2 linked regions of the Mytilus edulis genome follow. The protein of the gene in region 1 interacts with the protein of each later gene in a biochemical or structural test. Links are inferred from orthologs where the notes say so. Each region holds a gene or a part of one and is shown on either strand. Other genes may lie near its edges.

Region 1 (7,002 bases):
AGTCGAATTCGATACCGATACGAATAGTATATTCACCTGTTACCTATTACCTTATCTTATCTGTACGTTCCGCATCTGAAAGGCGCACCACCAAACGATGTATTTAGGATTTGCTTTATACACGGGTCATAATCACAGGGTTGACCCTTCTAAATTCAATCATTGTCAAATTGTTCCCTATTGTAGTATTTTAATCAGTAAGACTTTCTTACATAACAATATGAATACTAAAAATCTGGACTTTTATGATAATGCGTATATATAGGTACAGTTTTCAATTTTTGAACGGGCATGATGTAAAACAGCGAATAAAAGAACTCAACCTTATTTATAACTAATATAGGACAATACTGTTGATTAAAAAATACTCCATTCCAGGACCTTTTGTTTTCCAAATAATTAATATTACCAATAATTGATAAGTTCCAGGTTGACGGGTTCAAACAAAGATTTTGAAAGCAGAGAAAACTGTGTATCTTATAATTGACATGACTTTATCAGATGACAATACCAATACTAAAATAAGGCTTACGCATAGATATATACTTTAATTCATCCACGGACCCGCGATATCACAGGTGTGTTCTAGTATATATATACTAAATACATTATCATTAATGTTTGTAAATAAGGTCACGATCAGATGAACCCTATCAGGTACATGCACGCAAGCACAAATGTGGCTGTTCAAAAACTAAATTAGTCCTATTATTGTAGTACTCCTTTATATCTTTTTCAAAATTAGTTGTCAAAGACAGAGTTGATGGTGTTTTTAGTAAATCTGAATAAAAGAAGACATGGCCTATACATTAATGAGACAGGAACCGTACACACCTTATTGCTTATAATCAATTCAGAATAACAGTTACTTAGACAGCTTTCTGTGTGTTGCAAGTGTGACAAAAATAGAGGTCACCATTAACATGATTAAGCAGCTGAGGGAGAAAAAATTAAGAAAGAGAACATTTTAATATTTTGATTAAAGAAAAACAAGTAATTTATAATTATTGCATTACAATGTATATAGATTGATCTAATCAAATACCAAATGTTTGTGTTTGTTCTATACAAATTGTCAACTTAGCCTTTTATGGGGAGATAACTCAAATGTTGAATATTTTTTTAATCAAGGAATGACAGTGAATGTTGGAGAAATTTTCATTTTTTTCTTTTAGCAAGAAAAAAAGGTGACACTATTTTTTCTTTTTATTTTCTTAAAGCATATATTTTAAAACCTATCAAGTTATAAGTTATTTCCAAAATTTTATCTCACAACTTTCTTTCAATTAACAAAACAAGTGTTTTGTCACAAACAATCTTTGCAAATTTGGGCAACTTTAAAAGATTTGTAGCTTGAAAAACAGGACATGACCCATTCTTTTAATAACATTTTTGAAAAAATCATGGAAATGCGAAAAATATACAATCTGGTGAAGAAGAAGAACTATTATCGAGGAAATCTATATATATACATGTAATATAACCATGCAATGAACCACCTTAAATAAACACCATTCCTGATTGGATTAAAAGGCAAGAAGATGTTCAACATAAATAACTGAAATATATACATTTTGTATACAACCTATGATTGCTTACTTTTCTAATCTAATATTTGAGCATAGAAATACAAAGTGAACTTTATAATGTCATTTATATTGTATTTACTTTCATGAATGCTTATATTTAATCATGTTATGTAACGACTTGCTTTTATTATGTATTTCTTTGTTTTAAATAAAATTGAGAATAGAAAATCAAATGGGGAATATGTCAAAGAGACAACAACTCAACCAAAGAGCAGAAAGCAACCAAGGCCACCAATGGGTCTTCAACACAGCAAGAAAATCCTACACACAGAGGCAGGATTCGCCTGGCCCATGACAAAATGTGTACTAGTTGAGTAGTTCAAAGAAAATGGAAAATCACACTAAACTACAAAACATATAAATGATAAATGTTTTTAATAAGATGAGATAACTGCTCAATATATAAATAGATATCAAACTACAAACATTGAAATTAGGCACGGACTACTTTAGACTTGGCGTGACTAATTTAAAGATGGACAAAATTGGTTTAATTTGACATTATTAAATATTATTGCTTGCTTCTTTAATTTTTATATAGACATCCAAGCTTTAATTTAAGTAGTTTTTAAATTTCCATTTTTGTTTTACATTTTTACTTAAAGATTATTTTAAAATCTCATATGGATATTTTCTAAATCCAGTAAAATTTAATTCTTTAAATTTGCAATTACATTTTACATGTTTTATACTAGTATTACATGTACATGTATTAATTTTTATCATGTTTTTCTTTTACAGGGACTGTATAGTTTCATTTTTCTTCAGTGTACATTTAATTTGCAATGTTTATTGTGTATTATTATCTAATAAATACAATTTGAAAATATTATTTTTCATTCACTTCACTCGTTGTACATGAAATCCCCATATTATTGAAAATTATTGTGCACATTTCATTTCCGATCCGATGGTATTTTATTATAACACCGGATGTGGGTATGCATAGACTACGAATGGCAATTTGACTATTCTTACCCACAGACACTGCCTTGAAAGAAAGCTTTTAAACTTGAACATATTTTTAAAAGATGTTTACTTATCTCCAAAGTGATTTTTTCCTTGAAGTATTTTCAAAAGAAACAAGGGATGTATGAAAATATCTTTAAAAAAAAAAAAAAAAACAAACAATAGATAACTAGTTGACATTGTATTGCAACTGTATAAACATTGTATAACAGTATCAAGTTGTACGCACTGGTGAAAGACGTAGCTAGCCATTGAAACAACTGTGTCCATGTGGTTATTGGATACAAACTATACTCTGGATGAACACTCTGGTATACAACTTTCAACAATGAACCATTCAACAAACTATCAATAATAAATAGAGGTGGTATTCGTATCAAAACATTGGAAAAATGTTTAAATTTTCCGAAATACGACATGATCGATCTGTCAAATATTAACTTCCGGTGTTTTCTTGCTCGTTGTAGTGATGATTTGCAGCACTTAGAAGACAACACTATTTATTAATCCAGGCTGCTTGTAATCAAATCAGATCACTCACTATGTTCTTAAGATGAAACAGTTGTTTATCAATGTTAATTTTTAAAAGAAGATTAGTTTGTTTTACAAAATTGAGGTTAGAATAAAAAATGAATACAAAAGATAAACAGGTCCTCATCCGTCATTTGTTTTGTATATTAATGTAAATTATAGATCAAAGCAGACAGCAGAATTTCAACCACCTGAAAGTATCCTTAGGCCATAATATAACAACAGTAAATAGTTTAAAATTCCTACATTATATCATATGATTTTGTTTCATATCAAATACCAAAATGACAGTGCTTGTAAAATGTTGAAACTAGCTGACAGCTGGCATTGTCCCCATGGATTTAGTCCTATATTCCTGGAAGACCCAATAACTTCTCTTTTATAATCAATGTTGAATTTATTCTTAACTTTTCTAAGCCCAAATAATTTTGAAAGGCTATTTTATTTTTTGTCTGTGACACCTTCATAACTATTGTGACTAAACAATTTTATGCTGGGGTAGCTGTGATCCTGATAGCTCCTTATAGGTCGTTATGATATTTTTATGCCCCACCTACGATAGTAGAGGGGCATTATGTTTTCTGGTCTGTGCGTCTGTTCGTCTGTCCGTTCGTCCGTCCGTTCGTCCGTCTGTCCCGCTTCAGGTTAAAGTTTTTGGTCAAGGTAGTTTTTGATGAAGTTGAAGTCCAATTGACTTCAAACTTGGCACACATGTTCCCTATGATATGATCTTTCTAATTTTAATGCCAAATTAGAGATTTTACCCGAATTTCACGGTCCACTGAACTCATATGACCTAGCTTCCACTTTTGAAAACTGCATTTAAGTGCATTACCATATAGAGTTCAAATTTCCCATCCTTCATACCTATCAACATACATTGCAGAAACTACCCATTCTATTTTTGCAACTGTTATTATTTAAATTTTTCCTGGTAGCAGGTGGGGTCTTAGTTTTGTCAAATTATTTTGATTGATATTTCTGTTATCTTTTTTGAGCAAGTTAACCTGTTGCCATTACTTTGCATCCTTTTGTCATACATAAACTTTTCTTTAATAGTCTTCTCTGAAACTTCAATGGATTTAAACCAGAGTTTTTCTGCTTCTTCTTAGTTTGTGATTTTTGATGAACCAACATGAACATCATCAGATGACTGTCATAGGGCCAAAGAATAGTCTAGGCTAATATTTACGAATTAAAACAATTCGAGAAATAGTACTGTTAAGCACATTACCACAAGTTCTAATATTATAATCTACCATGAATAATTTTGAAATATTAACACCTATTTTGGAGTTATTGCCCCTGAATTTTTAAAGTTTTTAAAGTTTTTACATTTACTTTTGTTTCAAAAACTATAGGATCTAGCTTAAAAGAGTAAATTGAAAATATTGTAAGCATGACAACATGTATCCTCCCTGTTGATTAAAAAAAAAGATGTGGTCCTTAATCAGTATTGACACAAAAAAACAACAAATCAAAATGAAACACTCCAATTAATAATATTGAAAATTATTAAGGACTGCAGTGTTGACTTTTATTTTTAGCTCACCTGGCCCGAAGGGCCAAGTGAGCTTTTCCCATCACTTTGCGTCCGGCGTCCGTCGTCGTCGTCTGTCGTCCGTCGTCCGTCGTCCGTCGTCGTCGTCCGTCGTCGTTAACTTTTACAAAAATCTTCTCCTCTGAAACTACTGGGCCAAATTAAACCAAACTTGGCCACAATCATCATTGGGGTATCTAGTTTAAAAAATGTGTGGCGTGACCCGGCCAACCAACCAAGATGGCCGCCATGGCTAAAAATAGAACATAGGGGTAAAATGCAGTTTTTGGCTTATAACTCAAAAACCAAAGCATTTAGAGCAAATCTGACATGGGGTAAAATTGTTTATCAGGTCAAGATCTATCTGCCCTGAAATTTTCAGATGAATCGGACGACCTGTTGTTGGGTTGCTGCCCCTGAATTGGTAATTTTAAGGAAATTTTGCAGTTTTTGGTTATTATCTTGAATATTATTATAGATAGAGATAAACTGTAAACAGCAATAATGTTCAGCAAAGTAAGATTTACAAATAAGTCAACATGACCGAAAAGGTCAGTTGACCCCTTTAGGAGTTATTGCCCTTTATAGTCAATTTTTAACCATTTTTCGTAAATCTTAGTAATCTTTTACAAAAATCTTCTTCTCTGAAACTACTGGGCCAAATTAAACCATACTTGGCCACAATCACAATTGGGGTATCTAGTTTAAAAAATGTGTGGCGTGACCCGGCCAACCAACCAAGATGGCCGCCACAGCTAAAAATAGAACATAGGGGTAAAATTCAGTTTTTGGCTTATAACTCAAAAACCAAAGCATTTAGAGCAAATCTGACGGGGTAAAAATGATTATCAGGTCAAGATCTATCTGCCCTGAAATTTACAGATGAATCGGACAACCTGTTGTTGGGTTGCTGCCCCTGAATTGGTAATTTTAAGGAAATTTTGCTGTTTTTGGTTATTTATCTTGAATATTATTATAGATAGAGATAAACTGTAAACAGCAATAATGTTCAGCAAAGTAAGATTTACAAATAAGTCAACATGACTGAAATGGTCAGTTGACCCCTTTAGGAGTTATTGCCCTTTATAGTCAATTTTTAACCATTTTTTGTAAATCTTAGTAATCTATTACAAAAATCTTCTCCTCTGAAACCACTGTGCCAAATTAAACCAAACTTGGCCACAATCATCATTGGGGTATCTAGTTTAAAAAATGTGTGGCGTGACCCGGTCAACCAACCAAGATGGCCGCCACGGCTAAAAATAGAACATAGGGGTAAAATTCAGTTTTTGGCTTATAACTCAAAAATCAAAGCATTTAGAGCAAATCTGACATGGGGTAAAATTGTTTATCAGGTCAAGATCTATCTGCCCTGAAATTTTCAGATGAATCGGACGACCTGTTATTGGGTTGCTGCCCCTGAATTGGTAATTTTAAGGAAATTTTGCTGTTTTTGGTTATTATCTTGAATATTATTATAGATAGAGATAAACTGTAAACAGCAATAATGTTCAGCAAAGTAAGATTTACAAATAAGTCAACATGACTGAAATGGTCAGTTGACCCCTTTAGGAGTTATTGCCCTTTATAGTCAATTTTGAACCATTTTTCGTAAATCTTAGTTATCTTTTACAAAAATCTTCTCCTCTGAAACTACTGGGCCAAGTTCATTATAGATAGAGATAATTGTAAGCAGCAAGAATGTTCAGTAAAGTAAGATTTACAAACACATCACCATCACCAAAACACAATTTTGTCATGAATCCATCTGCGTCCTTTGTTTAATATTCACATAGACCAAGGTGAGCGACACAGGCTCTTTGGAGCCTCTAGTTGTATCCGTATTACCCATAATAAAAAAATGAATATTTTGCTACATACTTGTTAAAACTTGATACAGTCCCTCTTATTCTCTACTTGAATAAGTGACATTTGTAATTAATAATTTATTGTCCTTATTCAAATTTTATCACACGATAAGCCTGTTTAACAAAAAAAACAACTGAAATAATTTTGTAAATACAAGACCTTATCATGCTTATAAGTAAGATATAAGGTAACAAATGTAACTATTTAACTTAGTTATTTTATTCTAGATTTGATGATGTGGCAGGTGAAGGTTCAGAGAGAACAAGTTGAGGCTGTAGTTGGAGTTATTCTGAGGATTCCATCGTTGGTTTTGGCAGAGTTATGGTTCAGAAATAGTCCAGAAAATTTGACAAATCAACCTGATGATGTTACTTTTATCATCACAGTTATTTATTATCTAAGTAAGTATTTAAAATACCAGCTTGATGCAACCCTTAAGCTAGAAAGCATATCATTTATTTTACTTTCATATGATATTGTTCTTCCCCAGTTGTTTTATTGGTT
Region 2 (7,749 bases), on another chromosome or scaffold:
TTAAAAAATAAATTTCAACTGAGCAGAGAGAGAGTGTTGTTTTCTTCTGTGTCTATATCTAGTCTGTCATTTTTTTAATTTTTACTTACACCATTTTAGTTGTTTTCTAGTTTTAGCATTTTTTGTAAGACAAGGTAAGTATGAACGTATCGGAGGTTAGTGTTGTATAAAGTCATCTTAAAAATTGTATTAGAGAAAAACACAAGATTTAAATCCAGGCTCATGTGAAATGGGTTACGTTTACCACCATAGCAAACTGATTTATACGTATTATTCTGTATATATATACCAATTTTAAGGTCTGAATTAATATAGTGTTTAAAAAATAATTCAAATAAGTAGTTTTCACAACTTATTTAGTAATAAATTTAAACTAATGAAATGTTATGCTGTATAATATTTTAGTTTCATAATACAGCTTTCCAGGAAAAACCCTATTATTTATGTTTTGAATCACTTGTATGTATTTTTTATGCTTGTATTAATCCACACCCCCATCTTTGTTACGGAGGTTGATATCAAACCAGTATCTGAATGCTGATACATAGTAACACTTAACTCTTTAATGCTAGCTTTTCTAAACAATTTATTGACATTTCAAACTAAAAAAACTGTTTTCTATCAAGTTATATGTTTCTTTTAGTCAAATGAACTTGTTCTTGTCAAAATCTCCGTAACGATTCATGAACTTTCACTCAAAAATATGTTTTACCTAAACCGAATATTTTTCAACTTAATTTATTAGCTCTATACAGATAATGTCATCTTCCTTCACACCATAATGTATGTATTATACTCAACTATGAAGTTTTGGAGTCAAAATAGTTTCATTTCGAAAATTTCTATCCTCCGTAACGACATTTAAAACCTCCATAACGGACAATTCCAGTTCTTACCAACAGCAAACATATAAATGAATGTAAATATTGGAATTAAATGACAAACAAGACAACAGAATTAAACATTTTTCTTAGTAAATCGTTATCTAAAAAGAGAAAAGTCCTGTTAGAGAAAAAAAACTTTTTTTCCTTAAATTTCTATCCTCCGTAACGTAAATCAATGATGTCGTAGATATGATTGACATCACCTTTTGATATTTATTAGTGATAATTGATGAACTGATTTGGTATCTATAACAATGTAGAAGAATTTCAATTGGTATGATCGTGTTTACATGCATCTTTAGATTTTTTTATTTGCATAACCTCCGTTACATTGATGAGTCCTAAATAATCTTGAAAATGTTTGCCATAAACCGCTGTTAAAGTTATGATTGTCGTCGTAATTACACAAATTGTGTTGTAGACTATTTTAAATCTAAGAAAATGGCTGATATAACGTTTATTAAACGTTATAATGTTGTTCACATAATAGGGAAAAAACAAGTTAACCTACCTTTCTCAAAACAACATTTTTTTTCTCAAAATCTGTATTTTGTTTGTCTGTTTTCTTTATAATAAATGATGTCTGCTACAAAAATGACTTTCGGCAGTGTCGGCAGCCGCTGATACTGATAAAAAAGTCTGACAACTTAACTGTAAATAACTGCGTCACGGAGGTTATTTAAACGGAGGTTAGTTTTATTTACATTATACATGGAAATATGTAACAATATTGTTGAGTTGCTTTCTCAAAACTGATTATTGAGAAGCTTTATGGGTGCTTTCAATGAAATAATCATCATTTTGATTTGTTCTTGGTAAGTGCGTTCCAAAATACGCGTTACGTAGGTTGGATTCTTATATGCGACAATCGAAAAAAAGAGAAAGAGAAGATTTTTTTTAATTTTTCGTTTCATTGCACTAAAAGTTAAAGGCAGGATTTTAAAATTTGATGTATCAACTTTGCTTAAAGTCACTTTGGGCATGATTTCCAATCATATAAATATGTTTTGACTGTACCTAAAGATTCGTTACGGTAGGTTATACGTTTATCGGCGACATTGGTTTAATGGGTAAATCAAAGTGTATATTATAACTTTTGATTCTAAAATATTTTTGTGGATAAAAATCAATATAGTGTCAAATAAAAAAAGCAAATCTAATCATGATTTAGATGAAATAAAGTATTTTAATTCACACCGATATTTGGAGTTTTTCTTGGCGACATTCGGAATTCGTGTGATTTCCGTATATTGAATAGAAAATCACACAAATATATTTCTGATATACATCACAAAAGAATATGATTTTATTTTAGTATACATATTAATCACTTAGAACACGAAAAAGATTATCTGTGACATATGTTAAGCTTGCATTTTGTGGTTATTTGCCGGCGACACTGAAATTTTGTAATTGTACCCATTTTTTGGGAATGACTGCTTAACACTATAATACACCTTAATACAAACATATCATTGTTTGTGAGTGAATTGGTCAAGTTTATACACCAATAAATTCCTTTAAAAAGGCGTTTAATCCTGATAATAGTTTAAGTGTCACCAATATTCTCAGGTCAAGTGTCGCAGATTCCCGAAAAAAAACCCATAAGGTCCATTCTGTTATGCAGTCTATATATACATGATATATATAGAGTGTAAGGAAAATAAGACACTAGCAAGTTTTTAGGAAGCTTTATGATTTTCATTCAAAGTATGGTTTTATCATGTTTATATATATCTAAAATCAAATTATTCTGAAATTGAAAAAGAGATGAATATCAGCATGTTTATGATTAAATCTGCATTGTTCATCACTAAAATTTCCACAGTTTAATAAACTATTACTGGCTGACTTGAAGAATTTTTAACAGACTATTGACAATTACTCTTTATCCCATGGCTTTGCTGTAAGAATATCTTGTTGTTGTCTCTTGTCGTATCTGTATATTTCGTCCATACTGTTAACGTTCTCAACATTGTTTGACATTTCCCAAGTTTTAAATGCATTTTTCGCATCCATGATTATTTTTTTTAAGATTCTTGATTCTGGATTCTGATGTCAATTCAGAAACAAGGAACCATACAAAAGTCACAACATACTGGTTCAAAATTGTATATTTCTGATTTCCGTACGTTATACGGTATGTGAATTAATGTCTATTGAGATTGTTTTCTTATGATACCATTTAAGATAAAGTTAAACTACCATTATTTCAAACAACAAATCGCCACAACGAAATATAACAAAAGAATGTGTCATTCTGAATTAATTTGACAGTTAATCCCTTCGTAAAGTTTGGACAATCACATCACATGGGTATAAAAGATAAAGATATTTTATTTCCTAATCATAGGGCTCATAACAAGCATGTAATCATATACAGTAAAAATAAAAAGCCTTTCTCTCCCACTCGCATAGTGTTACACTCACACATACAACCATTTTATTTGTGCTTTTGTGTTTTTATCTCATAATTGCATGTATCAGTATGTGTTTAACTTATAAGATGCTTAACAAACTTTTGTGCTGCATGTTTATATACTGATATGAACTCTTGCTTTATATGTTTAATGTTTGTGTGCATGACTCGATATGTATGTTTTGTTTTACTTGTTGTTATGTCGGTTTTAAAAGCTCTTCAGATCTTTATTGTAATTGCTTGCTTATACCGACTCTAAATAAAGCTTTATGTCGTATGTCTAACTATCGTTCTGATTAAGGATGATTGATTTAACAGTACAACATGTAAATGAAAAATAAAATACAGATAAAAATACAGACACAAATGTATTTTTATTTTTTTTATGAGGAGTGTCAGTTGCCTACATTGTATATAAGATAAGATAAGATAAGAATTTTATTAATCTAATCAAGAACCCATAAAGGGCATCATTTTACAACACAATATGATTGGAAAAAGCAAAACAGAAAACTAATACCATACTATAACGTTATTGACAGGATCAGAGCCTGACACAACATGTGTCTTATATAACTATTATATTAAATGTTATAACAATAAAATATTATATTATTTCATATATTTTGTTTACATCTGGATCTTATTTCTAAACCTTTAATAATGTAATTTCCTAGGCACGTGAGAGTTAGTATATATAAAGTTATTGCTAATAGAGTCTGTATATAAATAAATTTGGTGTTTTTACTGTCTTCTGATTGGTTAAAATTATTAGTTTTATTTTCAATGTTGTCAATTTTCATGGTGACACGCCCACTCTGACATTGTGTATTCATACGCCATGTGTGTACGTTGTTATTGTTAATATAAAGAGTTCTTTGAGCCTAATTTTTTTTTATAGAAATTTATTTATAATGAATGGCAATAATTTATTTTGATTTTATTGAACCATAAAACTAATTTTTGACTCTTCACATTTTACATAATCCGCTTCGCGGATTATTCAATGTGAAGAGTCAAAAATTAGTTTTATGGTTCAATAAATTCAAAATGGATAATAGCCATTCATTAAATAATATCTGATTTGTACAAATTATAAACTTAAACTTTAATTAGTTTTCGAGTTTTGTCAAGAGCATAATACATTGGAACCAACTGAAAGACAATATTGTATGCGCAAATCGAGGCCCAAATACGGTTGAGAGATTCACGGCGGCAGCTCTCAAACACCGTCAACATGGTCAATAGGTCTCTCTTGTCTGTTGAATAAAAGCCAGAATTATCCGGTTCCTTACCTGGAAGAAGAAGAAGAACCTCATCTAGACCCTTATATATATCTTTATAAAAAATTTACTCCGGATTTCTCCGGATAACTAGGAAACCCAACTTAAGCAAATCAATACTTTATTACACATGTTACAACAAATATCTTTGATGAGTTTTTATTTCAGTCAAACATACTCTGACCATTAACATTTGTCCATGTGAAATGACATGAGCCAGTCTTTCTCCCATTTTATAGCTGTTACTTTCACGGTCTTCCTGAAGCTTTATTCAATCGTTTTGGCAAGTAATAGGCCGGTAAATAATCCTGTCATCTGCTTAGAGTCTTATCTGGCTGTGTTTTATGTAGTCAGGTAAGTCGTTAATACAAATGAGAATAATGTATTGGATTTTTTTTCAGATGTTGAGTTTTTGAGTAACTAACTAACTAACTAACTAATTTTATTCAGTATAAAATCCAGTACAAAAGGATCATCGGCTGAAACACATGAACACATATAAAAACATATACAAAACAAAACAACAATAAAACATAACAGCCAACAATTTTGACACTTATAATAAGCAAGAGACAAAACTCACACTTCAATATTATGAAATTATTCCCACTGAAGAATATCTAATCAAAATACATTCCCCATTTCCATTCTCAATTTTAGTCTATATATATAAGAAATCTGTTGAGAACACCAGTCTCCGAACAGTTCATTAAATATTTAAATTTATCAAAATTATCTAAATTACAAAAACATGGTATGATATTGACAATGTCATCATAAAACCTTTCTCTCTCGTCTTGATAGAGGTTGCATTCACATATAAAATGAAACTCATCTTCAATTTTGTTATCAATACAATGTTTACATATTCTTTGATCCAAAGGTGTATCATTATATCTGCCTTTTTCAATGTGTAAATTGTGGTTAGAAATTCTTAATTTTACATAATTGTCTAATATATAGTTTCGAGATATTTAACTTTGTATAAGTCTCAGGTTTATATTCCTTTTTAACTTGTAATATGTGCGTAGTTTGTTTTGCTTTTCACCTGACAAACATGAGAAAAAATAATTGCCATATCTTTCTTGTAATATCGTTTTCACTGCAGATATGAGTTTTCCTTCTGACATAGTTCCTTTATTATTCCAAACATGGTCAAAACGAATGAATTTTAGAAACTGAAAAATGTGTTTATTTAAGGTACATGGAAAGGTACAATCAACATCTTCGATTGACTTATATGCTAATTTTGAAAAATTCAAAAGAGGGTCTTTATACAAATATAGCCAGTATTTAAGAGACTGCAAAATAACAAATATAGAGATTGGATAACGACCAAGTTCTGCCATACTGGCAATATTAGAAGCATATTTAGTGACTGTTTGAGAAATGATTTAATCCATTGAGTTGGTTGATCTGAAATGTCGTATTATAGTGTTTAATCTGTAAAGTAAGTGTGTGTGTGGCACTTTATCAAATGCTTTGAAAAAATCCACAATTACTAGATTAGTTTGTATATTTCTATCATTGTTTTGAGCTAGTTTGGTGTATAAGAGATATTAATTATGATTCACATGATCTTTTTGCTCTGGGTCCGTGTTGTAGTTCATTTAGTATTTTATTTGTTTCAAGACGGTGTTTCATCATGTTACTAGCTAGTATTAGTTCAAGTTATTTACATGAAATGCAGGCAGGTGGTTACCCCTAGATATTTTGTTGTTGTTACATGTTCTAAAGAATGACTGTAGAATAATGACTGTTTTTTTGTCACGGTTTTTTTTAATTTCTGGTTACTGAAATAACATTACATTTGTCTGGGTGGAATGCCATTTTCCACGTAGTTTCCCATGATGTCAATTTGTCAAGATCTTTTTGTAATAGAGATGCATCAGAATTTCATTTCCAATTTAACTATGGTGTCATCTGCAAATAACCGCACTGTAAGACCAGTTGGGATATCGTTTATGTAGTGCAGGAAAAGACCGTGTCCAAGATCTGACCCCTGTGACTCGACTATGTCTCTGCCTGGAACAAATTTTGTTTTAACTGACTTCACACATCATGATGGTAAGTATCGGTGCAAATTATGTGAAAGTTCTTTTTTAAGTCTTGGTTTAAACAGAGACATATATACATGTGTATATATGTCTCTGGTTTAAATTATTTATGATCTGGTCCTGCTACTTTGATTTAACAAGGATTTGTATAGTAAGTCTTACTATACAAATCCTTGGATTTAAGTTTTTGTTTAAGTTTTAGTACACCTTCTGTTTTATGAATAATTTTGATGCAGTGATAGAATCTTTATATTCTCTCTCTCGTGCCGTTTTTACAAATAGTTTGAAACGTATCCGGTGGGATTTTCATTTAAAAAAAATAACATTAGTTGTTGTATGTTGTCCTTTATATGTGTTTTATGTTATTAGACATTCCTTATATAGTTCTGTACGGACATATTCTGTAAATAACTTAATCTATTTTGGACTGAAAAGGGTACCAGAATATATCGTCGGCATTTGGTCACGTGATTTGAATGGTGGACAACTGTTACAGGTGTTCCGTATTCCAACGAAACATTTGTTCATCAACAGAAATAACTTAACCTTTCTATTTGATATGTCGATTGATTGGCATAATGCGTAAAGGCAACAGGCCAAACGAAATGTTCCTTACAAGAGCTCTCGAGAAAATCTTGAGCGACAAAGAAATAAAAAAAGCTCATCACTCCCAACTGAAAAAAGCCTGTGAGGTGGCACTAGGTAAGTGAATCACATCATGAATTCTATTTCGGGTCATTTAACGTCTACGATGCTTATTTGTTATGATGGTTGAAAAAAAATTATCCGTAATTTTATGCATAGCAAAGGTTTTATAGTCTGTCTGATGAGTGATGTCTGATGACAGATGTGAGTGTACAAAAAAAATGTATACACTACAGGCAAATTTTGTTTTGAACCCAGTATTTCTGACCAATTGAAGAAAATTTACCAAAATGATATCCCATAAATACCATTTATTTTTTATTTGAGGCAGGTGCTACCTAATAAGTCATAGGATTTTACTTGTCTGTGACATCATCATGTACTTCTGATCATGTTGATCAATAGGTCATATCTGGAATCATGTCTTTCACCGGAAAAGATCGTCAATTTCGAACACCTTA

Evidence for each region. The genes of interacting proteins can lie anywhere in the genome.
Region 2: the proteins of protein TRC8 homolog (region 1) and COP9 signalosome complex subunit 5 form a complex in vitro, tested with the Drosophila melanogaster proteins (2 studies listed by BioGRID). The link is inferred for Mytilus edulis from reciprocal best matches to the Drosophila melanogaster genes Trc8 and CSN5.

Annotation. Positions count from the first base shown.
Region 1 is NC_092347.1:69,540,574-69,547,575, forward strand, and holds the start of protein TRC8 homolog, read right to left. Parts: upstream 3,024-7,002; 5' UTR 2,978-3,023; coding exon 2,788-2,977; intron 1-2,787. Other genes in the region: RING finger protein 145-like, read left to right, coding at 6,731-6,899. UniProt on the Drosophila melanogaster protein: Plays a role in growth inhibition that is dependent upon COP9 signalosome subunits CSN5 and CSN6. May modulate signalosome levels or compartmentalization. Probably functions in the same or a related pathway to VHL during early midline development.
Region 2 is NC_092344.1:10,559,488-10,567,236, reverse strand, and holds the start of COP9 signalosome complex subunit 5, read right to left. Parts: upstream 3,015-7,749; 5' UTR 2,904-3,014; coding exon 2,770-2,903; intron 1-2,769. Other genes in the region: brefeldin A-inhibited guanine nucleotide-exchange protein 1-like, read left to right, coding at 7,222-7,345. UniProt on the Drosophila melanogaster protein: Probable protease subunit of the COP9 signalosome complex (CSN), a complex involved in various cellular and developmental processes.